4 linked regions of the Arabidopsis thaliana genome follow. The protein of the gene in region 1 purifies or fractionates together with the protein of each later gene. This does not show direct contact. Each region holds a gene or a part of one and is shown on either strand. Other genes may lie near its edges.

Region 1 (9,090 bases):
TACTTCTTCTTTAACATTAATCTACCAGTAGCGTTTGAAATTTCAATTACTTATAACCAATAGTTGAAATTTGACTTTTGGTTTAACTATTAACTATTATTCTCCAAAGATATGCTTCGCTTTTCTTCTAATTGTAACATTATGATTGATAATTTTCATGCAACTCCTTTTCTCTAGATCGTAGGTAGGAGGATATTAGGTTAATTTGACTACGCTAGAGATTTAAATTAGTACGCTTTCGAACAAGTCAAAAGACACCATCGGGTTAGCCACTAAGAAAGCAATCATCATATACATCAATTAATTATAATACTACTTATATACCTGTACTATATACACTCATGCATAAAAAGTAAAAACGATTCTCTCTTTATCAAATTTAGATTCTGGATCGTTAAAAAGTAGTAAAAAATGAGAAAACTTTTACAAGATAAATTTGATGAGTCACCCTCATCATATTATAGTTAGAGGCTAATAATTTATAAATAATGTCAAAACAATTTTCTCTATGTACATATTATTACGGAGCGATTACATATATCATTCACAACTTTAGTCATTTTGTTAACCCTAATATAATGTGATATCAAAACGGAATATTAATAACGTTATACATTACAATTTTTGTAATAAATTTTGATTTTAATCACTAATCAGTTACTTGTTGCCATTATATTGATCGGGGATCCCTTATTGATAGGCCCAATATGAATGAGCTCAGTTATATTTTGGGTTTTTTCTCATAGCATAAATGGCCCAATGAAAGCCTATTAAGTGATCGAAGGTCAGACGTTGGACTCCTTGTATGAAACCAACAGACTAGGCCCAAATTATCAACTCAAAATTGACCGTAACATATACGGCGCCGTTTTTGTAGACCTGAGTGTGATAAAGTGAGCTGTTAAATCTTCACTTAACCCCATTTTTAATCACGAAATTAGAGTGGTGATTAAAAATACAACTAAAGTTGTTTCAAGTGATTGTTTTCATTTATTTAAATTTTAAATTAATCCAACTTATCGTTGACGGAAAATTTGGGAGAGAATATTCTCGATGGGGAAAGGAGGAGGTTGTGTTCCGAGCAAGAAGAAGAAGCCGGCCACCACCGGCGATGGTCCCGGAATCGATGATGATAACGACGCTACTAATGCTCCGATCCAAATTGACGATGATCAAACCACCATTGACGGCGATCGAACAACGGCGACGAATACTGGAGGAACAACAACACCAGCGATTACTACTACGGCTGCTAAGATCTCGTCACCGCTCAAGATCTTCGTCGTGTTCTATTCGATGTACGGACATGTGGAGAGCTTAGCGAAGAGGATGAAAAAGGGAGTGGATAGCGTCGAAGGAGTGGAGGCGACGTTGTACAGAGTTCCGGAGACGCTTTCGCAGGAGGTTGTTGAGCAGATGAAGGCGCCGGTTAAGGATTTGGAGATTCCGGAGATTACGGCGGCGGAATTGACGGCGGCTGATGGATTTCTGTTTGGATTTCCGACTAGGTATGGTTGTATGGCTGCGCAGATGAAGGCGTTTTTTGATTCGACGGGATCATTGTGGAAGGAGCAGAGTCTTGCTGGTAAGCCTGCTGGATTCTTTGTGAGCACTGGCACTCAAGGAGGTGGCCAAGAGACCACTGCGTAAGCTTTTGCTTCTTTCTTATACTCTTTAGTACCATTTGCATTGGTTCTAAAGTATATTAGTTGAATTTGGAGTACAAGTATTGAATTGCTATAATCACAGAGTCACTATGTGAAATAAATGCAACCTTGAATTTGATGTATATAGGTGGTTGCTAAAACCTGAAAGGTTGTTGTGGTCAGGACTTTGTCTAGTACTTTAGAGGAAACTTGTCAGAGATGGCTATCATTCTGGTGAATTGCTTGCTTGATCTTTAATTGCTTTCTTAACTACACCATTGACCATTTCAAGTCCAATCTGGTCACCATTGAATAGTACCCTGGTCTCTCTTTTGGTACGATAGGCTTGCACTTATGCTACGCTTATGTTAGCTCTAGTAAGGGGAGATCTTTAGAACATGTAAAACTGGATTATTTTAGATTCTCACTTTCTCATCACCCAAAGTACCAATTCTATAGGCATGAGTGTTGCCTCCGATAATTTGCATGTGTTTAAGCTCTGAGATAGATTCCTCAATGTATGTGGACTCTCTTTAGTCATCATTTGCACTTAGATATTTGTCTGTTTTACTTCAGCTGATTCACTCGGTTGCTGTGATAGTTTGCGAATATAGAGAAGCATAACAATGCGGAATCTTAAAGCTTTTGCGTATTTCTCCAAGTGTGCAATGTGGATATTTTTATTGCCATCGTTTCCACATTAAAGCTCAGAAACACTTGCTGATTTCCATCTCGTGTGTGTTCTGTTGCAGATGGACAGCAATCACACAGCTTGTGCACCATGGGATGCTATTTGTACCAATAGGCTACACATTTGGAGCTGGAATGTTCAAGATGGACTCGATACGTGGAGGCTCTCCTTATGGAGCAGGTGTGTTCGCTGGTGATGGGTCAAGAGAAGCAACAGAAACAGAATTGGCTCTTGCTGAACATCAAGGAAACTACATGGCTGCAATAGTCAAAAGACTTGCTCAACCTTAAAACAAAAACAAAAATTGCTTCCTCTATTTGTCTCTTTTCATTCAATTCCTCCTCCTGCTAAATAATCATAAAAAAAAAAATCTTCCTTTCTTTTCTCAATTCCATCGAAATTTCTTTCTTTTCTTTATGAGTGTTTTCAGTTTCGCCATTAATGGTTAGTGTGTACATGTTTCTTTATATTATTTGTCTCTTATTTATTCCTTGTTGTAAAATAAAAACAAAATTTCATTACGTGTTCTTTCATTGGAGTTGTTGATTGGATATTTTATCAAAAACTTATAATTTCACAAATCGTTAAAGTGTAGGAAAAAAAAATAATTAGTTGCGTCAGCCATTAGGATTCCTTGGAACACGTAAAGTTTACTAACATAAAACTGTGATATCTGTACTTTTTTATATCTATCTGCTGCTGCATCTGTGTTCTGTTCGTCCTTGAAGCAGTCAAATTCTTCTCTGAACTCCAAACATCGCCATGTCCGAGATTCTCTCTTCGTTGAGGTCACTAATGGCCTCTCACTCTCCTCCTCTTGATGCTTTGGTTGTTCCTTCCGAAGACTATCACCAGGTTTGATTTATTTTCAATTGAATTACCCTTTTTTGATTCATGATCCGATCTCAGATTACTTGATTATACGTCTACTATTACTTAATCATGTATTGTTCATTGATTTGAGTGAAAGTTTCGATTTTTAAATTGTATGTAGAGCGAGTATGTTTCTGCACGAGACAAACGCCGTGAGTTCGTGTCTGGATTCAGTGGAAGTGCAGGTCTGTTTCTATTTTCTATTGTTCTGGATTCAAATATTGTTAGAATTGAATCGTTGATCGAGAGTGAATTGAATTTGATCGGCGATTATAAATATATAGGTTTGGCACTTATCACGAAGAAGGAAGCAAGACTTTGGACAGATGGTCGATACTTCTTGCAAGCATTGCAACAGCTTAGCGATGAGTGGACACTAATGCGGATGGGAGAAGATCCTCTTGTTGAAGTTTGGATGTCTGATGTTAGTCCTCAACTAATCTTTTGATCAATCCATAAATTTTGTAACTTTGAGATGTGTTCTTTGATTTAGCTTATGGTTTAACAATGTAGAATCTACCTGAAGAGGCAAATATAGGTGTTGATTCATGGTGTGTCTCGGTAGACACTGCGAATAGATGGGGGAAATCGTTTGCCAAGAAGAATCAGAAACTAATCACCACAACTACTGATCTTGTGGATGAAGTTTGGAAGAGTCGTCCACCTTCTGAGATGAGTCCGGTTGTTGTTCATCCTTTGGAGTTTGCTGGCCGTTCTGTTTCCCATAAATTCGAAGATTTGAGGGCAAAGCTTAAGCAAGAGGGTGCTCGTGGTTTGGTCATCGCTGCTCTTGATGAGGTGTGTTTTCGTAGTAAAAAGATCTCTCTTTTTCTCAGTTCAGCTTTGGAATGTATTTTGATTGGGGGTTTGATGCAGGTTGCTTGGCTATATAATATCCGTGGAACTGATGTTGCTTATTGTCCCGTTGTTCATGCGTTTGCAATCCTTACCACCGACTCTGCGTTTCTCTATGTTGACAAAAAGAAAGTGTCTGATGAGGCAAACTCTTATTTCAATGGGCTCGGTGTGGAAGTCCGGGAATACACAGATGTGATCTCAGATGTGGCCTTGCTTGCTTCGGATCGACTTATTTCTTCATTTGCCTCTAAAACTGTCCAACATGAGGCTGCAAAGGATATGGAGATTGATTCTGACCAGCCTGATCGGTTATGGGTGGATCCTGCTTCGTGCTGCTATGCACTTTACTCCAAATTGGATGCTGAGAAGGTCCTTCTGCAACCATCCCCTATATCCCTCTCAAAAGCCTTGAAGGTAATAAAGAATGATTTTTGAAACGAGTGATCTCTTTCGACGTGTTTTAGTTTATTCATACATGCTTATTCTCACTTATGTTAGAACCCGGTTGAGCTCGAAGGGATCAAGAATGCACATGTTCGTGATGGTGCTGCTGTTGTCCAGTACCTTGTTTGGCTCGACAATCAGGTACTGAATAAATGAAAATTTTGTTTCTTGAACACTACTACTATATTGATGATTGATTATGTCACTCAACATTGTGAAACCATAGATGCAGGAGCTCTATGGAGCATCTGGATACTTCTTGGAAGCAGAGGCAAGCAAAAAGAAACCATCGTAAGCTTCTTCTTTCTTCTTTGTTTTGTTTTTCCCGATTTTGCAAACCATTTTTCCATGATTCATGACGCAATGAGTTTTTCTTCTGCAAAAAACAAAACAATACAGAGAAACCTCTAAGCTTACTGAAGTGACTGTGAGCGATAAGCTGGAAAGTCTTCGAGCTTCAAAAGAGGTAATGTTTACATATAACATATTAAACTTTTGTCTTTCCATGAAAGAGATGAATCACATTTCTCGTGTGGTTGCAGCATTTTAGAGGTTTAAGCTTTCCTACTATATCATCGGTTGGTTCAAACGCTGCTGTTATTCATTATTCACCAGAGCCAGAAGCTTGTGCCGAGATGGACCCCGACAAAATTTACTTATGTGATTCAGGAGCACAGGTAAATATCACATGATTGAGTGTATACTATAAGCTTACCTTGTATTTATCAAAGTCTTTGCTCTATAATACAATTTCGTTGTTGTTGTCTTTCTGCAAAGTATCTCGATGGAACAACTGATATAACCCGAACGGTTCACTTTGGAAAACCTTCAGCTCATGAAAAGGAATGCTATACTGCGGTATGTACTTATTGATGATAACCTTTTGAATATTACATTCTTATTTATTTGGAATAAGCATATTTGCTGATATATGTTCAATGTGCCGCATCCTTAGGTCTTCAAGGGTCATGTTGCACTAGGAAATGCTCGGTTTCCAAAGGGAACAAACGGTAAGTTATGATCTCCTTGAATTTTGTTTCTGTACCAACTTGAGATTTGGCTATTGATCTTTTATATGTTGCATTGGCTATATCTGAATTTACAGGCTATACACTTGATATTCTTGCTCGAGCTCCTTTGTGGAAGTATGGGTTGGATTATCGACATGGTACTGGTCATGGAGTTGGTTCTTACCTTTGTGTTCATGAAGGCAAGTTATGAGATACCTCTTTTTATTCTCTCTTTCTTATAAATATCGAGTCATTGATAATAATGTTTTTGAAATTCTAGATGTCATCAACTAACTTTCTGCGATGATTATGTATGGTTTAATATGTAGGACCTCACCAAGTTAGTTTCAGACCGAGTGCCAGGAATGTACCTCTTCAAGCTACCATGACTGTAACAGATGGTCCGTCTGCAACAAAAACTCGGTAGTTCTCCTGTTCGGGTTAACCTTGATCATATTCTAAAAGCTGTCTATATTCATTTATTTGCAGAACCTGGTTACTATGAAGACGGGAACTTTGGTATTAGGTTGGAGAATGTTCTTGTTGTCAATGACGCTGAGACTGAATTCAATTTTGGCGACAAGGGCTACTTGCAATTCGAGCATATCACTTGGGTACTTACTCGTTGTCTGTTAACTAATACCGTAGTTCTCATATCAACATGCACATCTGAGTAACTCTCGATCTCTCTCTCTCTCCAGGCACCATATCAAGTGAAACTTATCGATCTAGACGAGTTGACACGGGAAGAGATTGACTGGTTAAACACATATCATTCGAAGTGCAAAGACATCTTAGCCCCATTTATGAACCAGACTGAAATGGAATGGCTCAAGAAAGCTACCGAACCTGTAAGTGTATCCGCTTGATCCCCTCCCAGATTTCTCTTAAATAGATGTTTATCAATGGCTCCTTCACTTCTCTCACTAGTAAACCAAAAACATTCAAGTCATACACAGATTATTTTCTTTAGTTTTGCATTCAAAGTTCATGTTTCTGGACCACATGTCTTTATTCATAGCAGATTCTCAGTTGTTGAACCATAAAGAGAACATTATGTTTATCGTTTTGATATTATTAAATTGTCAACTTTTTGCTAATTAGTTTTAGGTGAAGTAAGCAGATGGAATGTGAGTCATGTTGAGAGCTTCTTCTGCTGTCTTCTTCAGTTCCTTAACATTCTTTCTCATCTCTTTTCCTTCTTCTTCATCCATCACTCTCTTCACCATTTCAGCTATCACCTCCTTCTTTACAATCCCATCTGCAACATTAATCTGCAACGCAATCTTTAGCTCCCCAGAAACCATCCTCGCGTTCATCTTCTGCTCTGAGTACAACGGCCAAGCTACCATTGGCACACCATTCACAATACTCTCCAAAACTGAGTTCCATCCGCAGTGAGTCACAAACCCTCCTGTTGACTTGTGTGCCAGAATCTCTTCTTGTGGTGCCCATGTACGGACCACCAAACCGATGTCTTTGGTTCGGTCTAGAAACCCGTTGGGTAAGAAATCGAGAGGTTCTGTCTCATTCTTGGTCTTGTCGAACATTGATGCCGATGGGTCGTCTTCAGCCGGTGGTCTGACTACCCAAACAAATCTGTGGCCAGTCAGCTCCAAACCGTAAGCCAGCTCGTTTGTCTGCTCGAAGGTTAGTGCCCCACCACTCCCAAAAGAAACATAAACCACTGACTCTTTGGGTTGTAAGTCAAGCCAGTCCAGCACGCCATGTTTCAAACCTGGTTCTGCTGGTCTAACCAGCGGTCCAACAGGATAAACCGGCACTCCTCTCATAACCCGACCGAGATTCTCTGGATCCAAGAAAGACCCGATGGTCACTTGCTCCAGACTGTGCCACGTATTCACAAACACCCCATCTGCGGTTATCACCTCATCCCCAATACGCTGAGACTCAGCGAGTTCCCGAATATATTTTCTCGGATCTTGAGCCCGCTCAAACTTAACCGGGCTGCATCCGGGTATAAGCAATGCTCCTATGCTACTCAACTGCTTATACAACTCCTGTTTGTCAAGACTCGCCATATAAACCGTAAAAGCTAGAAACCAAGCACTGGTAGTAACCAGAACATGTTTTCTCATGATCCCAAGCTCCTTAGCCACCTCTAAAGCTTCCGTGCCCAACAAGTCAACTACGAAAACCCTAGGCCGCGGTTCTAACTCCATGACTGAAGACTTGATCTCTGGTAATGCCTTCCTCATCATCTCTGCTAGTTTAGTCAATAGTGAACCACTCAGATCTTGACCCGAAACATCGAGTGGAATAAACCTGATCACAAATTTTGGATCTTCTTCCATCAACGTTTTTCCAATTAGGGATTTCGAACGTGAGACATCGTCTGTGACTAGGAAGACAGTGACACGGTCGAACCCGTGGTGGTTCAGGAGATGTTTACCGAGTTCTAAGATGGGTACGGCATGTCCCATGCCCGGACTAGCCACTAGAGCTCCGTGAAGTTCCATGGTCCTCAGAGTTTTTTTAGTGATATGCTTTCTTTAATTGGTGGAATGAGAATGTGTTTGGTGATTGGACGCAGTTGGGGTTGAATATATAGAGAAGAATTACGAGATTATTAAGATTGCAGTTATCGAAATGGACGAACATCTCACAGCAATAAATCATTATAACGGAGTGGATATAGTAACATATTTACCATTAGTTAAACCCCAAACTAAACATTCAAATACATTAATTGAACTGTAATATGATTAAATACTAGTAATAAGTGGTAAGATGTTTTTTTGTTCACTAATGTAACGTTGTACAAAGACCTAACATATAGTAGTTGTGTTTGAGCCGTCGTTTGTTTTGCGTGTTACAATGATGTTTGGATGAGATGAGCCACGCATAGAATGATAGAAACATGAATTAAGATGTGTTTGTTTGTTTTACCTTGTTTTGGACAAAGCTACAAAATGCGATCATGTGACTTGTTGAAACTTACTAGTTATATATATGTATTTTAAAATGAAAACGAATCCAAACTAAATAGCTATATGAAAAGAAGCAACTCACCACTCTCACCTATCACGTGGACCCAACGTGGGTCATCTCATAGTTCCCTCATCAAATGGGCAATGAAAATATTGTCTTGTGCCGTGAATTACGACAAATGAGAATTTAACTACGACATGCGGAGATAACAATAATAGTATCAACAATAGTATAAAAAGAAAGAAAATTAGAAAACAATTTGCAAATGGTTGGAAGAAGTTGTTGTTGTTTAGGTCCCAACAAAAGTGAACAAAAAAGACAGGCCACATGGTGGGGGTCCATTATCCTCCCCGCTCGTGGAGGTTTCCTTTTTATATCACCTAACTCAACACAACAAACTCTTAAACTAATCACAATAATTAAGAAACCAAACTAAAATTAAACTCTGGTCTATGGAAAGCTAAGTGGATATCATATTACTACATCCGCAAAGATATTAACTCTTTACAAACCGATTTTTTCCTGTGATCAATTAAGATATTATATATCTCTAAGAACATTATCATCATCACAGTGATAAATTAAGTATAAACGGAGAATGTAACGGTATGTTTAA
Region 2 (7,033 bases), on another chromosome or scaffold:
TGAGTGCACTACCATTATGTGAACCAGAGTCAAAGAACTCAAGACCACCAACAGAAACTGCAGAAGAAAAAGAAGAAAAAGAAGAAACAGAAGAAAAAGAGGAAGAAGAAGAAGAAAGAGTTAAGGAAGTCAGTAGTGTCTCTATCCAAACAAAGGAGAAAAGTGGACCGATCAAAGTCTCTCCACGCTGTGTTTTGTCACTTACTGACGAATCATTTCCGGATGAGTCTTCTAACCTCAAAAGAGACCCAACACATCAAGATTTTGTCACTCCGTCTCCTGAAAAGCTTTATGCTTGGCATCTTGAGAGTAATGGGCAAACGGCGGGAGGCACGGGGTTTACTAGAAGCCGAAGCTGCGGAGCAAGCTTTGTATCAAGCTCTTCCTTTTCTCTGTCTGAGAGAGATGCTAACACACCACCATGCTGGTATCAGAATGAAAGAGCTGAGAGCAACCTGAAACCGTCCAACAGCAAGAGGCCACCATTGCCAAAGCATATTAGCCGGATGAGCATGCCAGCAACTTGGTTCGAGAAAGACTTCAACCACACCCAAAGAATGCCAGCTGGTTTAGATGGTGTTAATATGATAAAGTCATCACCGAATGGATCACAGGTTTCTACCTCTAAATCTCATGTGTATGCACGCCAGACAAGTGGTAGAGCTTTAATCAGCCAAGACGAAGGTGAAGAGACTGTTCCTCAGAGGGACAAGCGAATCATTCACCTATCGGTTAGTTTTCCTAACTTGGTCAAGCAGAGCTTGCTTTTCGTTTACCTATACTTGGTACGACCTTTAGATATCGTCATTATTTTGAGAACCACCTCTATCATGGCAGATGGAGGAGATAGAGCAAAAATTCTTGGCTCTAAGATCGTCAAAGAGTTTCAAGGACGCTGCGGTTGACCCAATACAAGACTATTTAACCATGCCATTGAACTGGCCGTTGGAGTTCAAAAGACTCGAGATGGAGATAATAGAGCTATGGCATGCTTGCAACGTTTCCTTGTCACACAGAAGTTACTTCTTCCTTCTCTTCAGAGGAGATCAGAAAGATTGCTTGTACATGGAGGTCGAACTCCGTAGGCTCAAGTACATCAGAGAAACCTTTACCCACAATAACAAAGCTATTGAAAATGGACGCACTCTTACATCAATGTCCAGGTATATATATTCACCCAAAAACACCTTAAATTTCTTTGACGGTGAATGTATTCGGTTATTTAACTGTTTGGGCCATGAAACAAAACAGCCTGAGGGCGTTGAACAGGGAGAGGTACAAGCTGAGTCAGCTGATGCAGAAGAAACTGACGAAAGAGGAGAGAGAGAACGTGTTCTTGAGATGGGGTATTGGGCTGAATACAAAGCACAGACGGCTCCAACTGGCACATCGTCTCTGGTCAGAGAGCAAAGATATGGATCATGTCCGAGAGAGCGCCTCAGTTGTGGGAAAGCTCATGGGGTTCGTGGACATGGATTTGGCATCCAAGGAAATGTTTGGCCTCAACTTCTCACTTAGACCCCGTGCCAAGAAATCTAGCCTTTGGAAACGCAGCGTTTTGTCGCTCTCTATTTTGTAATTATAAAGGACAAAAATCCAAGCGATTCATTCCTGAGCACTAAATTAAAAGTGGTGTGGCTTCTGTGAGAAGTACATTCACAAATCTAAATTTGATTTGGGTCTGAGACTGAGATTGAGCAGTCTCAAATGTAAAATTTTAAAATGGCAAATCGCAAAAATCATAGATGATATGTTTGTGCGTTTAACTGTTTAGAGTCAGGTGATACTCTAAAGTCGTTAGCATAACCCGACATCTCAATAAGAAAAGCTCTTGTGTTTCTCTTCCGGTGAGTTTGAAATCTTTTCATGCAGTTTACTTGTGTGTCACATTTTTATTGACCTAAGAATGCTTCACATGCAAATCGCTCTCTCTCAAATGCCTCAACCTTGAACCTGCTCTTTGCCTTAAAATCCCAGTGATATCTGAATCTGAACCATGTTTATGTTTGTGTACATTAGCCAAATTCAGGGTGAATTGAAGTCATTTTGAAAGATTCATGAATTGAAGAACTGTAGTATATGATTCTTTTTGCTCCTTCATTCAAAATTCACTGCGCTTTCATCCTCAACTCATTGGAGGGAAACAATTTAGATAACTTAAAAAGCAACAAAGAAACTAAAACATAAAAAGACAACAAACAACCACCAAAGCAACAAAAAGAGAAAGAAAAAAAAACGAAATTTAAAACTCTATAAAAGCAGATAAATGTAAGAAACTCCATCTTTGTATAATTGATCAAATCAAGGTTGCTGCTTAGCATCCATGTATCCAGCATCAACAAGCACTTTCTCCCTCTTAGCAAGCTCAAGATCTTCATCAACCATCATCTTCACAAGCTTCTCAAACCCTACTTGTGGTTTCCACCCCAACACTTCCTTTGCCTTGCTTGCATCTCCTTGAAGGTTATCTACTTCAGCAGGCCTAAAGTACCTCTGGTCAATCTCAACATAATCTTTCCAATTGAGTCCCAAATACCCAAATGACACATCAAGAAACTCTTCCACTGTGTGTCCTTCCTCTGTTGCCACAACGTAATCATCTGGCTTCTCTTGCTGCAACATCAACCACATTGCTTCCACATAATCTCCTGCAAATCCCCAATCTCTTGACGCTTGCAAATTCCCAAGGAATAGCTTCGTCTGCAAACCAACCTTGATCCTTCCCAATGCTCTTGTGATCTTCCTCGTCACGAAATTCTCACCACGGCGAGGTGACTCGTGATTGAACAAGATTCCGTTACAAGCGAAGAGACCGTACGCCTCTCTGTAATTCACTGTGTACCAATGAGCAGCGCATTTGGAAGCTGCGTAAGGAGATCTGGGGTGAAACGGCGTCGTCTCCGATTGTGGAGGAGGAGTTGATCCAAACATCTCCGAAGATCCGGCTTGGTAATACTTGACGGTACGGCCACTGTCGATGGTGTGAGATCTGACGGCTTCAAGGAGACGGAGAGCACCGGTTGCGACTACATCGGCTGTGTAATCAGGGATCTCGAAGGAGACAGCGACGTGAGATTGAGCAGCTAGGTTATAAACTTCGTCAGGTTTGATCACATCGATCCAACGACGGAGAGAGGAAGCGTCGGTGAGATCGGCGTAGTGGAGTTTCATCAGAGCTTTGTTGACATTGTGTGGATCGATGTAGATATGGTTGATTCGCTGGGTGTTGAAATTCGATGATCGACGGATCAGACCATGAACTTCGTAGCCTTTTCCGAGAAGGAACTCCGTCAGGTATGATCCGTCCTGGCCGGTGATTCCGGTGATCAGAGCTATCTTCCTCGGTTCAACGACGGTGGAATCAGCTTTGGGAGCGGTGATGGATTCGGAATCGGATCTGGATCCGTTGTTCTCTGACGCCATTGTTGGGTTTTCGGATCTGGGATTTCAGAGACAAATGCTAACGTCAGCTCTGTGTTGAAAATCCGTGTTGAATTGGGCTGTTAGAGTTTTAGCTGATTTAAATAGGGTCAGAGAGGTTGAAGACGGAGGGGTATTTTAGTCAATTTCAGGATAAGGGTAGTTTGGTAATCTTTGTTGGTCTTTAAGTTTTTTTTAATTGACTATTGATTGGATATTTTCCTTGTTTATGTATAACACGTTAATGATTTACTTATTTTGTGGTCAAACTCATCAATGGTGTACTATAGAATTTTCTTGGATCATTTGCAAACTTTCCACAAAAACAAACATATTAAGATTTTCAAATCATTTTATGAACTGTCCAAACAAAAATAGTGAAAAGTATTTGAAAGTTTATAAGACAATAATTGCAAAAACAATTAGAGTGAAAAGTAGTCAAACAAAGCATTTAATATACATTTAGTGTAGTCAAAAATTAATTAAAAAGTTACAAATTTGATACATTAAAAATATTAGTAATTTTTTGTAGAAGCAATTACTATTTTGTACTCAACTGAAAAAATTGAGAGAATTGGATTGAAAAAAAAGACAGAAATGAAACTCACCATTTACTAAAAAAATGAAGCAAATGATAAGAGTATAACTTGGCTCAATGCCGAAACATACTAACATATATATTTAGTCTCTTGAGTTGTGTTCGAGTGGTGGACAATATGTAATCTCCACGATTTGTTTTAGGAATCTTATGCTTCAAATCACCTTTGTTGTTTTCCTTTTACAAATCTTCAATCATTTTCATTTATTTTTCTTCTTTCTGTCACAAATAATTGATTGGTTTGTCAAGATATGCTTTTATATATTATTTATCTTTGCCTGTTATTCTTTCGACAACCAAGCAAAGTGATCATTTGACCACAACAAAAAAGCGTTGAGACTTGAGACAAGTGAAAATTATAAACCATGCGTTGGACCATCTTATGCATCCGGAACTTAGGTATACCAACTTAGTCTTACCAAGAATTATATTCGATCAGACACTAATTAAAGAAGTTAATTATTTCATATGTTCGACAAGCATCAAAATGTGGCCCGTATTACTATCCATCGAACGAATATTCTAGCATTAGTGGATTTCTCCAAGCTAAACTACAATCTCAATCTAGAGGATGCAACACGGAAACCAAAACTGAATTGCTCAACAACCATGATTTTCAACGTTAATTATGGTGTTTGGTCACTTGACTCACTTTGGCTACAACTTGTGTTGAGGTTGATAAACCTTTGTTGTCATCTCTTATAATATTGGACTAATGAACTTGAAGACAGAAAGAAAACTTTAGACCACCGTGATAAAGAGGAAAAAACATTCCTAGGGTTTTTTTATCTATACAAAAAACCCGATCAAGTGGCTGATCTTTTTACTAAAGCATTGGGTAGTTCCAGTTTTAGAGTATCTTTTCTCCAAGTTGGGTGTTTTAAATTTACACACACCAACTTGAGGGGAGTGTTATCGAGATAGATGTGAATATGTCGAGCTAGATAGATATGAATTTTGTTTAGATGTGTTTAGTATCTCTAAAGATAAGGTTTAGAGAATATTGATGTACACACATAGGTATATACATGTATATAAGGGAAACGTATCCCAAGTAAATAACACAACTCAATTAAACCAAAGTCTCTTCTTAAGTTTACAAAACTTGACGAATTGTGGTGTAAAGGCAAAGAAGATTATAAAGGTCGTTCGAAGAGATGGGAATGTGATAGTTCTTCAACTTGTTCAAGTACTAGGAAGAGTCTATTCGGGCAATGGTGCAATAGGCAATTGAGAAAACAATTGAGGGTGTGAAACAAAGGGTTGCAATTTGGTTATACATGCTCAAGCCTCACGGTGAGCGCAATTTGTTTTTGGCAATTATCTTATTTGTTGGCTATTCTCTGAAGGAAAGAACATTAAAAAATTGGGCTTACAAAGGTTTGAATTCAACTTAGATTGCAAAGACTTAGTGATGGGCCTTATGGATGAGATTACTTGGGCGTCCTTGAGAATTGTGGCCCACGAAGTTCAAGAGATACTGATAGGATACATTCGACGTATTCCCCATTTCGTTTTACATTTTAAGATGATGATGTGTGAAACTAGTTAAGAAGGGTTCTTCTTAGTCCTAAAAGAGTTATTAAAGTTTTTTTAAAACTCTATAAAGTTTCGGGCTTCTTAATAATAAACACAGAAATGATAATGGCACTTAAAAAAAAAAATCATAATTCTCTTAAGATTTTCTGACCAATTGTCCAATAATCATTGTCCAATAATGGTATTATTTGCTTATTTTTTTACTACATAATCTAAAGTTAATCAATATCCTTTAATCCAATAATAATGACAACAAAACTGTGTCACTTTTCTAGTGGGGTATAAAATATATAATAATATGGCTCTTCTCCTAAAGTACTGCAAAGAGAAGAAGATCTCGTTGACGCCCCAAAAAATAACCAGAGGTAATGGTTCCGCTTCCATGGGAGCTAGAGGAAGATATACTGTCTCGACTTGCAGCCCAATCTCTTGTTCGATTCAGATCCGTTTGCAAACGATGGAATTATCTTTTCGATGAAAAGAGTTTCATCAAAAACCACTTCGCTCGTGCTTGTCCTCAGTTCATCTTCATGACCGATTCCAATATTTATTCGATAGAGATCATCGGTCTCGACGGCGTTGATCCAACGATTAAGTTACGTGTGCTAGACTCCTCTGGTATCCCTTACCGTGACTGGAAATTTGCTTACATAACCATCACTGCTTGCGATGGGTTCTTGTTTTGTAACTCTTGGGCTAGTCCTAAGGGGACAGCTTTTTGGAATCCGTGGTTGAAACAGGTTAAATGGATCGAGTACGAGGATAAAGGTTTCAATGTCTGTGGCTTAGGATACGATAATACTAGAGACGGAAAGGTTTACAAAATCTTGGGGTATTTAATGTGTCGCCCTGAAGATGGGAGCTCTTACGTATACCACCAGAGAGTTGCGATCTACGACTGTGCCTCTCACGCGTTCAAGTTTATTGAAATATCGAACAAGGACTGGTTCCTAACCGATGTTACACGATTCAGTGTGTCTTTGAACGGAAATCTCTATTGGCTTTCTCCTATTCCCAACACTGATGACTTTCTCATCCAATGTTTTGATTTCTCTAGGGAGATATGCAAACCCTTTTGTCTTCTTCCTTGTCGGAAGTTTGATGCTTTCGATTTACTTGTAAGTTTTCAGGGGAGATAGGTTATCCTTGTTAAAGCAATGTTATAAGACAAGGAAGGTTGAGATTTGGGTTACGAAGAATAAGATTGATACTAGTAACAACAATGGATCAGACGAAGTTGTGTGGATTCACTTGTTGACGTTGCTACCAAATAACTTGCCAAACTTATTTATCGAGTGTTATGGCATTAGTTACTTCATCTATGACAAGACCACCTTCATCATTTATTGTGCTGACGAGAACACTTATGCGGCTTGCATCTATATTGTCAGGGGAGATTTGCTCAAGAAGTTTGTAATTGACACCATGGTTTTCTGTTGTTATAGCTGTGTTTATGCTCCCAATTTTATCCCCCTT
Region 3 (7,736 bases), on another chromosome or scaffold:
ATTCAACAGGATATCCCGGATCTTCGTTCAACCAACGATTCTCTCTCTCGAACACCATCTCATCGAGCTTCCTCACATCATCATCACTCTCGCCACGCACCGTGTCGTCTCTAACCGGTAACGAGAGCTTCGGAGCTTTATATATTAAGAAATGCTCAAGCGAGGTAACGAAGGACGTCTCTGGTCGGTCCGACGGGTTGGGATTGGAGATGGAGGCTCGGGAGGAGGAAGAAGAGGTGTAGAGGATGACGAGTAGAGAGACGGTGAAGAGAGAGCCGATGAGGATTAGGGTTTTGGATCTGGGTCTGGAGGAAGTAGAACGATGATTTTGCTGTTTTCCAGACATTGTGAGATCTGCTTCTTCGAAATCTGAGTTCGATTACAAATTTCTGTTACTCAGTTGTTGCATATTACTATGAATGTGGAAAGTGACGATGCGCTTCACTTAACCGCGATTGCGTCTGCGACTGTAAACGCTAAATTGAAACAAAGTTTGTGTTCAAATGTGCACGATAGCAATTGGATAGATGTCAAAATGTGTTTGATAGCAGAAACTAGAATAGAATGTATTTCAAATCTCATGTGCCATCATAACAAATCTCCTTTATAAACCATCACACAAGTCAAAGAGATCTCCAAACACAGATTACTTACATTGAACCTGTTCATTCATACTACCAATTAAACACCAAATACATTATAAAAGATTTATTATGTCGCCTGAAAGTATCCGTCTCAGAATCGAATGAGATCGTCGTTTTTGGATGAGGACTGCTCCTTTTTTGGGTCATGATCTGGATTAGTCGAAGAATCACAGCCGTTTTTCTTACCGAATATCATCTCATCAAGATCATCCATCATGTCATCTCCACTACCACCCCCTCCATGGAATCCACCTCGAACACCAGAAGATTTTCTAACCAGAGATTCTTCTCTTCCATGAATTGGAGAGTCATCGGGCTCTTCAGCAACGGGAATCATGGCTGGTTCATGTGAGGTTAGCGGTGCAGAGGGTTTGTTCATCTCCTCATACTTAGACAGCGTTTTCACTAGCTCGTCGTTCACATTCAAGGCTTCGAAAAGAAGGGCTTCGTTTTCACCTGCTGTTTCAATGATTCTTTGGACAGTGGTTTGAGATTGACGACATTGTTGTACAAGTGTCGTTGTTAAGTCATCCTGCAAATCAGAGAGATAATGAAAATATATCGCCGATATCCCATGTTATATCCATTATTACATTAGAATTACAGGAAATGATGCCTAATAATTCCGAGTCAATTTACCTGTAAAGCATCATGTTGAGGCGAGGAGGACAGAACCGTGGAAAGAAGTTCAATGCTGTTTCTTGCTATATCAAAAGCTTCCTTTGTCTGCTCAGCAGTAAAGCTTCTTACAGGCACATCATACTGGATATGTGCAGGTTCATGCACATGCTGAGGAAGATCAGCATTCAGTTCTGGTGCTGGAGTTGACCGAGCAGGAGTGAAAATAGGTGCCAAGCTTTCGTTGTCTCGTCCAGGGAAGCGAATACCTCTTGCTTTTAAGCTCTATAGTATAGGAAAAAATATAAAAACATTAAAGACCTAATCATAATGAATTCTGACATCAGACCTCACAGCTTTTCATTTTTCAATCAATTCCTGCAACAAGCTAGTCGATTGAGCCAATTCATTGAAACAATAGTCATTTGTCTGTTTTGTTCAAAACCCATATGCTTTGGCCAAAACAGTTCAACTCAACATAAGATAGTGGTATCTTCAATAAAGTATTGTAAATGAAACTGTATTGTTGAATTTAATAGCGTAAAATTATTTGGTACCAGGTCATAGTTACCTTATAAGTTTCTTCGAAAACTGGTAGGTAGCGAAGTTCACTGGTTGATTCTCCCCAAGCTTCAATCAGCATCAAAGCTTTGTTTCGGTTATTAACAACTGTTTGTGGATCATCAATCAGCTTTACCATTTCATCAAGGACTCTCTCTGCTGCCACCTCTGAAAACGCCTTCTCACAGTTCTTAACACACGTCTCGAGCAAAACCAAGGCAAGGTACTGAATCCTCGGCTGCTTCATCATAATCCTCTTCTTTATACCACGGATCAACTCAACGCTATTAATTGTCTCTTGATTTATCATATCACAAATTTCCAAATTCATATCCCAGTCAGGTTCCTCTAGATTCTCAGTAGTAGCATCTTCGACTATTTTATCAGTTGGGTTTGGACCTTGAAAAAGTTCCTTCACTTTAAAGCTCATTGAGCTCACACCAGCACTGATCTTGTTGCTCACTTCCGAACCTCCGATCTTCAGGCGCTCACCAAATGCGGTAACTTTGTCCATAAGATTGTCACCCATCTTTGCTGATACTCAAAAACCTGTAAATGAAAAACAGCAAGAACCTGGAATTGTACATACAGAACAAACCAGAAAGCAGCTGAAACATCAACTTGTTCAAGTATCCTTCAATGATACTAAACAATAACGAGCACGAAAGGAAATACTAACAATCAATAATATACACCTACGAATTCTGCAGAGATTCATACAAAATCAAATACACAAAAAGGTTCAAACCCGGTTAAACCAGGTTTTCAGATACGATCTCTTCGATCATACAAATATTCTTCTCGATCCAACAAAATTTGCTCAAGGAAACTGGTTTAACCAGAAATTAAACAGTTTTTTACGGATGAATGTAATTAGGGTTTGCTGAGAAAAACCGAATTCGATATTCGAAGATCAAAATTCGAAAGAAAATAGAAAAATTCGTTTTGGTCAACAAAAACCCTAATAAGGAAAATAACATTTCATATGATCGAAAAACCCAGAACTAGATCGATCAACACGGAAACAGTAACCAAAAAACAGCGAAATCACAAGTAAATTAACGCGAATTTCTACCTTTGAGATTGAACAAAGAGATGAGAAGCTCGAAGAACAAAGCTCGATCTGGTAATAGAAGACGGAGACTAGAGAGGAAAATCTGCGACAAGGTCAATGCCCGTTGACGCCGTACAAATCCTGAAGAAGAAGAAAACTGCGTTCCTTTTTTAAGTGTTTGGTCGTGGGAATTACTTTATCCTGACTATGTTTCCCTTCCTTTACGCTAAACATTATTTTCAAAAAGATATGCTTTTTTATTTTTATTTTTTTCATATCAACCAATCACGTTACGCAATTTCATCCAACGAACCAAAAAATAATCGATCATTAAATGTTTTTTTTTTTTTTTCTTGCCAGTAAAATCTTCACGCCGGTTTCAGGAAAAAAAACTTCATCATCGGAGCCGTTTCTCTCTCTCGAACTCGTAAGCTTTCTTCGATTCTCTTCTTTAGACCATTGATGAGAATCTTAATTGTTCCCTTTCTACTGTAGAAACTTGAGCTAGATTACGTTGAGGTAATTCAATTTTAGATACTCAAATTCAATCATTTTGTTGTCTGTAGGATTTAAGTATTTGAATCTTGCCAATGGATTTGACGTGGTTAAGTGCCCTAATTGTTGGAGCTGCACTTGGATACTGCATTGGCACTCGCCGTTCCAAACCTGTTGTTGCTGCTGTTGATAAGGATATCAAAACTCAATCCTCCAAAAGTCCACTCGAGATTGAGAAACTCGCTGATATTCTCGATGATTTCAAGATGGTAGTTAGCTACATTTTTCTCTCTACTGTTATGGAATCACAAAATTGTTGAATTGAGTTTTGTATACTCAGGTTTTGGTGGTGAGAAATGATCTTAAAATGGGTAAAGGAAAGATTGCAGCTCAATGCAGGTGATAAACTAATCATGCTCTCTTTTACTATTTTAAGTGTTTAATTCATGTTTATCATTCTTACATTTGAGTGTTCTTATTCTGATTCGTTTTATTGGTCTGCATTTCTGCAGTCATGCAACTTTAGGATTATACAAGAAGCTTGTTCGTCGAGCGCCAAAAGCATTGGACTGGTATGCCTCTAAGTCATGATCAATTCCATTTGTTACTTAATATATGGATTGAATTAACAGTATAGGTTGCTATTGCAGCTGGGAGGAATGTGCACAGCCAAAAGTTGTTGTGAAAATCGAGGACGAGGACGAGATGCTAGAATTGCAAGTGAGTTTACTAAAACAAATTGTAGTAGACTGTAAAGTGGATTTTTTTTATTGAACTATATTTTGGATTCACAGCTTTAGTGCTGTTGCCAAATTGATCTTCACGGGCTTTGCAGGAGTTGCCAGATGTTAGTTTCTTGATAATTTCTGAGTTCTGACCATATACATGAATACTTAAGGGGAATTTGAGATATCATAGAGCTTATCTTGATTTTTCCCATTTCTTATATCTTGTATTGACTGTTCACAAAATTGTCAGGAAAGAGCTAAATCCCTTAAACTGCCTACCCATATCACCATTGATGCTGGAAGAACACAGATTGCCCCAAGTGAGTTTCATAAGTTCCTCCCCTCTTGAACTTGAAATCCCTTGGTGCTTTAAACTTTATGATTGCTAGTTAATTGCCAGGGAGAAAGCTCTCTTGATTCAATCTTCTTTCGTAAGTATCATTTTCTGCGAAAATGTGAATCTAATAATACGTCATGTTCTTTCCAGATTCAAGGACGGTTATGGCTATTCTTGGTAAGTTGTTATTTTTAAGATATGTGTTTGAAAGTTAAGACTCTGATGGACAAGTGATGAGTTTGAGAGTTGCAAATCACACTTACCCTAGAGAAATGTACTAGTTTATTAGTTCATGACTTCTCTTGATTGCTTGGTGCTTGTCCTTGACCCTGAATGGAATCTATAGTTCATAAGAATCCAAAATATGAAATGTAAGCTCAAAAGTTGACTCGGTCAGAAGAGGGTGTATACTTTCTGCGTGGTATCCAAATTCATATGCACCGTTCTATGACCAGGAGTTAGAGATTCTTGTAGCAGAATTTGTTTATCGGATATTATCAGCATTTCTTAACACAACATTCCAACGCTTATAGATTTTACTTCTGCAGGACCAGTCGAAGTTGTTGATGAAGTAACAGGTGGACTAAAGCTTCTTTAGCAGATTCGAATTTCGATATGACATTTCTTCAACCTGATCTCTCAGATGGACCAAGCAGAAAGGAGAGACATGAACTCCACCTTCTCTGTTCGCCCGAGGTTACCTGTGAGAAATCTGTAGTTGTTACGTATACTCGTTCCTGATGATGACGAAATATTCATTTTAAAACATTTTCCCCATTTTTCATGGGCATGTAGCATTTCCCTCTACCAATGGTGATATCATCTTTTTTTGCTGGATTTGTATTAGAAGTATCAAAAGCTCGAGCCTTTTTTGGCACATTGAGAAAATGGCTTGTTCTAATGCCAGTTCATGGGAGTGTTGGCTATATGAACATTTCAAATGTAACAACAGATCTTGTTTATTGAAGATAAACCCATGGTATGGAGTGTGATTATCTACCAAAAATAAAGAAGAAAGCTATTCATCTACAAAATTTGCTTAAATTATATAATCTACATGAGGTGTTTAACACAGTGCTTATTATCCCTTTCTTTGTCCCTTTAGATCGTTCCTGAAATCTGCTGTAGCCATGTCAAAACCCTCAGGTTGCTTCCGTGTTTGGTAGAGTGCATAGAGAGAGCATCATCACCAGTAACCTTTGCATGAACACGATCCATTTTTGAAATGATGGAAGCGACTTGAGTCCCTCAATATAATATCATGATCAATGATTCTGGACATGTATGTGAATGCTGTATGGCAATCACCACATACCCGTAAATTCTTAGTAATCCTGATAGCAGCACCTTGCGGAGTTGTTAGAATACCATATGCAAGAGCTAACTTCTCACTATGCTCGAAAAGAAGATCATCTTTCTCTTCATCGTCTACATCATGAAGAGCAAAGCCTGTTTCAGGAACATAACCAATGTCCTTGATGCGTTGCATGTGATCTAAGAGGACCTGGTATATTTCCTTAGCGTGTGGATGAGTTTTATCACCCACGAAGAACGTAGTAGTTCCTTTAATTCCTTCAACCCAACTACAACCAGGTCTTTTCTTAACTCCTTTATGTCTCATCAATGATCTGATCCTAGTCACATCTTTCCAACGCCCTGCATTTGCATACAAATTTGAGAGTAATGTATATGATCCATCATGATTAGATGCTAATTCTGTTATTTTTTCCGCAGCGTACTCCCCGAGTTCAACTTTTCCGTGGATTCTGCAGCAACTGAGAAAAGCAACCCATACCACAGGAGGAGGCTCCATTGGCATTTCTTCAATGAGACGCAAAGCTGCATTCAACCGGCCAGCACGACCTAACAAGTCAACCAAACATGCATAATGCTCCGGACCAGGACTAACCCCAAAAACAGTTTTCATTCTATTGAAATACTCCATGCCCTGATCAATCATTCCTGAATGACTACAAGCATATAATACAACAAGTAATGTAACACCATCAAGCTTAAAACCTATTCTCCTCATTTCATCAAAGATTCCAAGAGCTTCTTCTCCATAACCATGCATACCATAACCCGTCATTAGAGATGTCCAAGTAACTTCATTTTTCGCCATCATATTGTCAAATACAAGGCGGGCATCACTGATGCTTCCACATTTTGCATACATGTCTATTAGACAGTTTGATACGAACAGCGGTACTGCATTCTGCTGGTTGCGCAACGCATAAGCATGAATCTGCTTGCCAATTCTTAGTGCAGCCAAACTGGCACATGCCACGAGGGCACATGATATGGTAAAAGCATTTGGTCTTGTTTGGCAATCTTCCTCAAACATCTCAGATAAAAGTTCGAGAGCTTTATTTGCATCCCCGTGCTGGGAGTATCCACCTATCATCACAGTCCAAGTCACAACATCCCTTTCCTTGGGGGAAAGTGAATCAAACATAGCACGTGCAGTATCAACCTTTTTGCACTTAGCGTACATGTCAATCAGTTGATTGATTACCATATTCTCATCACCATGACCGTTCTTACGCAAGTCTATGGGATATTTGATGGCATAACAATGAATCTCTTTACCATGCATCAATGCTCCAACAGAAGCACAACCCGAAAGAACCGAAATAAGCGTGACTTCATTTGGTTTTATCCCAGAAGACAACATCTGCCTACACACACCCAAAGCTTCATATCCAAGTCCCCGTTGAGCATACCCTGAAATAGCAGCACTCCAAGTAACAACATCCATTTTTATTTTCTCTTCCTGCATCTTCTCAAATAACCTAACAGCATCTTCAAACCTTCCAATCTGTGAATACCCAGCAACCATAGCATTCCAAGATACTACGTCCTTCACTGACATGTTCGAAAACACCGTGTTTGCCTCATCCATCATCCCACACTTTGCATACATATCCACCAAGCAATTCCCTACAAACATATTCTGTATCATCTCACTTGTGACTGCAAAACAATGCAATTGCTTCCCTAGTGAATGAGTTCCTAGGGAAGCACAAGGAGGAAGAACATTCACAAGGGTAATATTATCAGGTCTACATCCGAATTCATTGGTCATCCTGCTAAACATTTCAAGCGCCACCTTAGGTTTGCCTAACTTTGCATAACTTTCTATTATAGAGTTCCACGATACAACATCCCAAACAGACATTTCGTCGAACACCTTCCGTGCATCACTCAATGAACGACAACGGGAATACATAGCAACAAGCGCATTCCCAACAAAGACATTGGAGATAAATCCAGTTACCAGAGAAAGCGCGTGAGCAGAT
Region 4 (6,622 bases), on another chromosome or scaffold:
CGATTGAACATGTTTGCTCTTGCTTAAAAATATGATAATTGCAGAGTAGGCCAATATTGAAGTCTCCTCCCACGGAAAGTAGCTTAACAGATATCTTAGTGAGAAAAGCTCTATCCAGTTCCTCTTCCAGTGAGTTTTATACCTATCTGATTAGTTTGCTCAACTGAGTTTAGGAAGAGGACTTGCTGTTTTTATGTAACATGTTCAAAATGATTGATCGTTTGTTGTGTGGAAGACAATTTATTCATAGAAGAAGACATATCTTTGGACTTTTTTTGTTTTTGCTAATGTATTCGTTTACTGTTAAAGCTTCATAATGAAAAGATATTTTCATTCATCTACAAGTCTCCTTTTTTCAACTCTAATTTTTTGCCTTTGTTGTCAACTGTTTCCCAGATACGGTTGATCCTCAAATACTTGTAGAGCTCTTCTCCATTTACCGAGAATGGCAAGAGAACAAAGCTCAAGAAATTACCAAGAGACAGGTCTCTCTTTCTGCCTTTTTTTGTATGTATATGAGTGCAGTCTTTAAGAAATTTTTGCTATTAGCCGAGAACTTAAACTAGACTTCAGGCTACTCCTAAGGGTTCTCTTAAATTGAAACAGACACTAAGATAGTGTAAGTTTTTTGAGCTTTTGGTTTGCAAGTGTGGTGCCAAAGGAATGTTTTCTTTTTGGAAAAAAAAGAAAAAAAATCAAGTATAGATGTTCTACTTTCTTTTGCTCTTATGGTTTAGTGAATTGAAACTGAAAATTACAAGTGTTCATTGGTCTGAAATCTTGGTTTGCATCACTATGATGTCTTTAGGTGTAGCAATTAAAGGGAAATGAATTTTAATATGTTGCATCATGTCTTTAGGAAGATATAGAAAACAAGATAGAAGTCGCAGATGCTTTGGCGACTAAACTTTTACAGAGGTTTAACCACTCTGTTTCTGCAATGAGGACAACTGCCCAGCATTTATCTCAAGGTAATTATTGTAGCGTAGATTAAGATAGAGATGGATTTGCCACTGGACTGCATTATCCACTGATCTTATATATGTGGAACATATTTCTAGTTCATGGTTTGCAGGTGGAGCTCGGGGAGCTTAAAGGAAGATTGACAGAGGTGATCAGCAACTGCGATACATTATGTAAGAGAATTAATTCTGAGGGACCTGAATCTCTGAGGTCCACAGTGGCGCCTTTTTCTCTTGCATCTCCCGATTCGGTCAGTATAAATACTACTACAACTCTGTCTTCTAAACCCGAGGCATAAGAGTAAATACTCTTAATGGTAGTTAGATTGGTGAATCGAATACGTGTAGTTCTACAGCATACTTTCTGATCTCCTCTGATTTTGCATAGATGCATGATGATGCTATTGATTGATCTTTTTGTTACAAATCATTGTTTTCTTTTGTCATTTCATCTTTAGGCTTTTCGATTTGTACAATCGCTTGTGACCAGTAAGAAACCATTGTTCTGATAAGGGGAAAATTCATATGTAATAAATATGCTTTGTTTGCCTTTTGATACAAAATCCACAATGGACGATTGGCAGTGTATGGAGTTGAACAACTTGAAACAACGAAAGAGAACAACAACAAATGAAACAAAATTACATTTCAATGAAAAAGCAGATAATGATTACTCTTCTTTGCCACCTCCCCATATCAAGGTTGCTGCTGAGCGTCCATGTAACCAGCGTCGGCGAGCACTTTCTCCCTCTTGGCCAGCTCAAGGTCTTCGTCCACCATCATCTTCACCAGCTTCTCGAACCCTACTTTTGGCTTCCACCCCAACATTTCCTTTGCCTTGCTTGCGTCTCCTTTCAGATTGTCGACCTCCGTGGGCCGGAAGTACCTTTTGTCGATCTCGACATGGTCTTTCCAGTTGAGCCCCACGTACCCGAAAGACACGTCCAGAAACTCCTTGACGGTGTGTGATTCCTCAGTTGCAACCACATAGTCATCTGGTTTCTCCTGCTGCAGCATCAGCCACATTGCTTCCACGTAGTCTCCTGCGAAACCCCAGTCTCTTGAAGCCTGTATATTTCCCAGGAAGAGCTTGGTCTGCAATCCGACCTTGATCCTTCCCAAGGCCCGAGTGATTTTCCGAGTCACGAAGTTCTCGCCTCTGCGAGGTGACTCGTGGTTGAAGAGGATTCCGTTGCAGGCGTACAGACCGTAGGCCTCTCGGTAATTGACTGTGTACCAATGAGCAGCGCATTTGGACGCAGCGTAGGGAGATCTCGGATGGAAGGGCGTGGTCTCTGACTGCGGAGGAGGAGTTGACCCGAACATCTCCGAAGAGCCAGCCTGGTAGTACTTGATGGCGCGGCCATTGTCAATGTTGTGAGATCTGACAGCCTCCAGGAGACGAAGAGCTCCAGTAGCGACAACGTCAGCAGTGTAATCAGGGATCTCGAAGGAGACGGCAACGTGGGACTGAGCAGCAAGGTTGTAGACCTCGTCAGGCTTGATGACGTCGAGCCAACGGCGGAGGGAGGAGGCATCAGAGAGATCACCGTAGTGGAGCTTCATGAGAGCTTTGTTGACGTTGTGGGGATCAACGTAGATATGGTTGAGTCGCTGAGTGTTAAAATTGGAGGATCGTCGGATGAGGCCGTGAACTTCGTAGCCTTTCTCGAGCAGGAACTCGGTCAGGTAAGATCCATCTTGGCCAGTGATTCCGGTGACCAGTGCAATCTTCCTCGGCTTCACAATGTCGGAATCGCCATTGAGAGATCTGGAGGCCATTGATGGGTGGGTGCAGAGTCAGATCGGATCAGAAGAAATGATTGGGCACGTCGCGCTTTCTGTTTTTGATTTTAGCGTCAACTGATTCGATGACTTATATATAATAAAGCCCAAGGACGAAGAAGACAGAGAGAGAGGGTTACTTCTGTAAACTTTAAAGGTGAATCTGTATGGCTACGTAAAGTTGTACTTGTATGGCAAATCGCCGGCAAGCGTTGACCGATTACGAATATTTTACTATCTATTGGGCCAAGATGGGCTTTAAATTACTGCTAATTTTATTGGGCTTATATATATATATAGCTCTACGGGTTGCGTTCAGACTAAACATCATTGTGGACTTTAGTAATTTGCCTTAAGTTAACCCATTTAGTTATATTATACTCGGCCTTATAATAACCATTGATTTTTTTTTTTCCCCACACGATCTCAACTTGCATGTCCTATTTATTAGATTCAAAATTCAAAAATGAAAGCGTAAAAATAAAAAACACGTAACGTTAAAAGGAGTAATTGTGAATATTAAAAGAATATGAGTGGTGGAAATTAAATCGGTGAAAGTAATAAAAAAAACGATTAGGAATGGGAGCCAATCAGCGCCTCTCTATTTGATAGTATTTATTTTTCTCCACTGGGAAAGTCAAAAAGTCATAAAAAGTGTGGTTAGGGTTTTCTCTCTCTCTGTTCTATCTCTCCCACAGAACACAAAACGTATCGCCGACGCCTCTCTTCTTATTCATATCTGTCTTTCTCATTGTCGAGTTTGGTCTAACATCTGATTTCTCGTTTCGTATAGAATCTGAGAAAGTGGTTAGTGAATAGACTTTAGAAAGAGTTTGCGATTGAATTTTTGTAAGAGAAATAGTAATGATGAAGAAAACGAAGAAAGGGAGAGTATCGTGGGCATCAGATAGTATGCTTTGTCAGGTATAGCCAACCCGTCGTCTTCTTCGTCGACCCAATCTTGTTCCTTATTCTTCTCTTACCTGCAAATTTGTAATTGTTCGGTTCGGACTTACCAGTTATCAAAGTTGGAATCGGACAGTTAACAAACGAATTGATTTTGATTGATTGCTTTTGATTAATTATTCTTAATTTTAAATTTACACAAAGATAAAACCTTTTCCATAAGTCACCGTCAAAGCAACAAACTTTAATAAGATGACGTTTTTTTTTTTTTTTTTTCTGGTAATGGCGAATCTAATTAATTAATTTTGTGTGCCTGAATGTTGATGACTTGATGTTATGAAATCTTCTTTACATAGTAGGGACATAAACAGCAAGAAATCCCAAAAAAAAAGAAGAACAATGTACCAATGTGGTCACTAATTTTAGAAAGATTGTGTTCCTCCTGAAATAGTGAAACATGTAGGACTCCCCTTATATATATAACTCATGTAAAAAAAAGGACTTTGTGGCTGCTGAGTACACACGCATTTGGTTACTAACTAAGTAAAGGATTTGGACAGGTAAAGTTGTTTCTTAGTGATGATTGTCCCGTTAAAGTTGCATCGAATCTTCCACCTGGTTTTGAAGCTACTGATTATGCAACGAAGCGAATCATCTCACACATTCCTCGGATCAAATGGAAACGCCCACCATTGGTATAATTCTTTTCTTGAATTGCAAACAATGTGACCCTTCTTGTTTTTATATAACTCTCACTGTCTTTCTTTATTCGCCGCCAAAATAGTTTGTCCTCGATGATGCTTTGCTTGTTGGGAGTGGTGGAAAAAGCATCGAGACTCGTTCTGAGAATCTTAGGATTTCTAAAGTCTTGGAAGCTTTCTATCCACATCGCTCTGTGATCCCTTCTCGGTAATTTTATCATTTGAGGATTTGCTTTTGTGCCATGTCATGTTTTTCCACTTATCAAATTCTCTCTGTTTTCTTCTAGTCCTTCGCTCACACTAGCTGTTGAAGAAGAACACTATGACGACGGCAAAACTCCTAATATCCCTCTCACTCACGTTGAAGATGAACGTGACGCTGCTGCTGAATCTTCCCACAGTTTCGAAGCTCCTGCAGCTGTTTCTGGACTTGGACCAGAGTTAAGTCTTCTTGCTTCTGCAGCTTTGTCTGCCTTAACTAAGGAACAGGGCTCTCAGGTCGATCCTGATTTACTTGTCAAGTTACTCAGTGACCCCAAAATCGTTGAGAACTTGATCAATGGCATGAAAGGTAAACCACTTGAAACTGCAAATAACAGTCTAAACACTGACATCACCGAACCTAGACTTGCTCCTCAACATGTCACCTCCACAACCATGGACAGAAACCCACCTCCCATGCCTGGAAATGTTGCGCCACATAATGTACCTGTTTCGGTTCAGTCCAGTGCTACAGATCCTCCACTCCCCAAACCCAATCAGCCCATGTCCAGTGCTCTCTCAATGAACCTTACCCTCCAGAAACCCACCCCGGTTGTTCACAACTATCCATTGTCTTCTGGGATCAAAGTTGAGGATTCTTACACAGCTGCTCCCTTGAAACCAAGCACAGGGGATGATGTTGTAGTCTCAGAACAAAAGACCCAACTCCTTTTCCCTTGCAGCTCTTGGAATATGAATAAGGTACCGGAGTCAGCGCGAACTGAAACAGATCCTCAAATCCGTAATGGTAACACAAACCGGGATGATCAGGTTTCTGCAAAACCCGTGAAAGATCTAGACTACTTCAAGAACCTCATTAGGGAACATGGGGCAGTCAAACCGGCAACAACTGAAACTAACAATTACAAAGGAAGAGTTGATCATAAGAAAATCGTAAAGGTTAGGATTCAGAAACCGTGCATGTATTTTAACAGGCCCAAGGGGTGTCGGATGGGCGAGAGTTGCTTGTATCTTCACGACAGTTCTAAAAGGTTATGGACTGATGTTGCACCTCCTCACTTTCCCAGAGCTAAGAGACTCAAGTTTGGATCGTAATACAGCTACGATATGACTCAAAATTTAACACCAAGCATGTCTGAAATTATTGGTAAATAGCTTCATCCAAATTCTGATAACTTGTTTAACAAGTTTCCCAAAGTTAGTCAGTCATCCATGTTTTTTTTTTTTGGGTCCACCCGTTGCCGTAACATTTCTTTTGGCCATCTACAAGGTTATCATTTTAGTACTTGGACCAAGAGTTTTGAGAAGTTGGTCAATTTTGTTGCCGGAGAAAAAGACGGATTATTACAATCCATAAAATTAGTTAATGATATCACTGGAGTTCAATTTCTTTTTCTACCATAATTTTAAAAATGTATTGAAATTTTTAAATCTCTGGAATAACAACACCGAAGATATTAATTCCATTAAATAAAAAAGAAAGTGAAATTAGAAACAATGAAACATAACCGCTTAGTCTATTTTGTTGAATGTTGATTATGTCATTAATGAGTTGAACTAATCTAGCGAAAACAAAGACTTAGGGTAGTATAATCATTTGTATGAAAAAGGTACATTTGGTTATAATTGTATCATCTGTATGAAGAAGGACACAAAAAGCTCACATAAAGAACACCCGACATGTGATCCCTACACCTGTGCTCAACTAAAACTCAAAATTTCTTGTCTGTTCTATTTTGCTAAATAGTTATACCAATAATATAATTTTGTGATTGGTGTTACCAAATATATAAATGAATATATAATATATATAAAAGACTTCGAGTTTATCCAAAACTCGTTGTGTAATGTGGTTTAGGAATAACGATAAACTGAAACGGTTATGTCAAGTTTTTTCTTAACGCGATATGAATGATTGGATGGTGGTTTAAATAGTATATACTTTTAGTCAATATCAATTGTTAAGAACATTTTATCGTTGCTACACCAATTACGTCACCGCTCATACGATACCAATATTAATATCATGATGATATCATACTTTGG

Evidence for each region.
Region 2: the proteins of APP1 (region 1) and MUR1 fractionate together in Arabidopsis thaliana (co-fractionation; one large-scale study listed by BioGRID). This does not show direct contact.
Region 3: the proteins of APP1 (region 1) and AT5G16880 fractionate together in Arabidopsis thaliana (co-fractionation; one large-scale study listed by BioGRID). This does not show direct contact.
Region 4: the proteins of APP1 (region 1) and GMD1 fractionate together in Arabidopsis thaliana (co-fractionation; one large-scale study listed by BioGRID). This does not show direct contact.

The regions. Positions count from the first base shown.
Region 1 is NC_003075.7:17,323,589-17,332,678, forward strand, and holds APP1 (aminopeptidase P1), read left to right. Parts: upstream 1-3,028; 5' UTR 3,029-3,099; coding exon 3,100-3,192; intron 3,193-3,331; coding exon 3,332-3,395; intron 3,396-3,494; coding exon 3,495-3,634; intron 3,635-3,723; coding exon 3,724-4,008; intron 4,009-4,086; coding exon 4,087-4,482; intron 4,483-4,566; coding exon 4,567-4,653; intron 4,654-4,738; coding exon 4,739-4,803; intron 4,804-4,911; coding exon 4,912-4,978; intron 4,979-5,054; coding exon 5,055-5,189; intron 5,190-5,289; coding exon 5,290-5,370; intron 5,371-5,467; coding exon 5,468-5,522; intron 5,523-5,617; coding exon 5,618-5,722; intron 5,723-5,851; coding exon 5,852-5,923; intron 5,924-6,011; coding exon 6,012-6,136; intron 6,137-6,223; coding exon 6,224-6,373; coding exon of another isoform or gene 6,374-6,391; exon of another isoform or gene 6,392-6,626; coding exon of another isoform or gene 6,627-6,756; coding exon 6,757-6,795; downstream 6,796-9,090. Other genes in the region: AT4G36750 (Quinone reductase family protein), read left to right, coding at 1,054-1,646, 2,399-2,627; AT4G36770 (UDP-Glycosyltransferase superfamily protein), read right to left, coding at 6,629-8,002. UniProt on the Arabidopsis thaliana protein: Catalyzes the removal of a penultimate prolyl residue from the N-termini of peptides, such as Arg-Pro-Pro. Aminopeptidase that binds to the auxin transport inhibitor N-1-naphthylphthalamic acid (NPA).
Region 2 is NC_003074.8:19,004,931-19,011,963, forward strand, and holds MUR1 (NAD(P)-binding Rossmann-fold superfamily protein), read right to left. Parts: upstream 3,795-7,033; 5' UTR 3,424-3,794; coding exon 2,302-3,423; 3' UTR 2,063-2,301; downstream 1-2,062. Other genes in the region: AT3G51150 (ATP binding microtubule motor family protein), read left to right, coding at 1-731, 838-1,163, 1,252-1,579; AT3G51171 (F-box and associated interaction domains-containing protein), read left to right, coding at 5,926-6,696. UniProt on the Arabidopsis thaliana protein: Catalyzes the conversion of GDP-D-mannose to GDP-4-dehydro-6-deoxy-D-mannose.
Region 3 is NC_003076.8:5,544,274-5,552,009, reverse strand, and holds AT5G16880 (Target of Myb protein 1), read right to left. Parts: upstream 3,094-7,736; 5' UTR 2,899-3,093; exon of another isoform or gene 2,373-2,898; 5' UTR 2,353-2,372; coding exon 1,834-2,352; intron 1,548-1,833; coding exon 1,284-1,547; intron 1,177-1,283; coding exon 736-1,176; 3' UTR 501-735; downstream 1-500. Other genes in the region: AT5G16890 (Exostosin family protein), read right to left, coding at 1-346; AT5G16870 (Peptidyl-tRNA hydrolase II (PTH2) family protein), read left to right, coding at 3,468-3,641, 3,713-3,771, 3,885-3,944, 4,023-4,092, 4,351-4,420, 4,588-4,614, 4,986-5,035; AT5G16860 (Tetratricopeptide repeat (TPR)-like superfamily protein), read right to left, coding at 5,624-7,736. UniProt on the Arabidopsis thaliana protein: Might contribute to the loading of the ESCRT machinery.
Region 4 is NC_003076.8:26,472,556-26,479,177, reverse strand, and holds GMD1 (GDP-D-mannose 4,6-dehydratase 1), read right to left. Parts: upstream 3,013-6,622; 5' UTR 2,745-3,012; coding exon 1,659-2,744; coding exon of another isoform or gene 1,547-1,658; 3' UTR 1,424-1,546; downstream 1-1,423. Other genes in the region: AT5G66290 (uncharacterized protein), read left to right, coding at 45-129, 397-485, 860-971, 1,062-1,213, 1,547-1,882; AT5G66270 (Zinc finger C-x8-C-x5-C-x3-H type family protein), read left to right, coding at 3,612-3,671, 4,214-4,348, 4,438-4,562, 4,642-5,671. UniProt on the Arabidopsis thaliana protein: Catalyzes the conversion of GDP-D-mannose to GDP-4-dehydro-6-deoxy-D-mannose.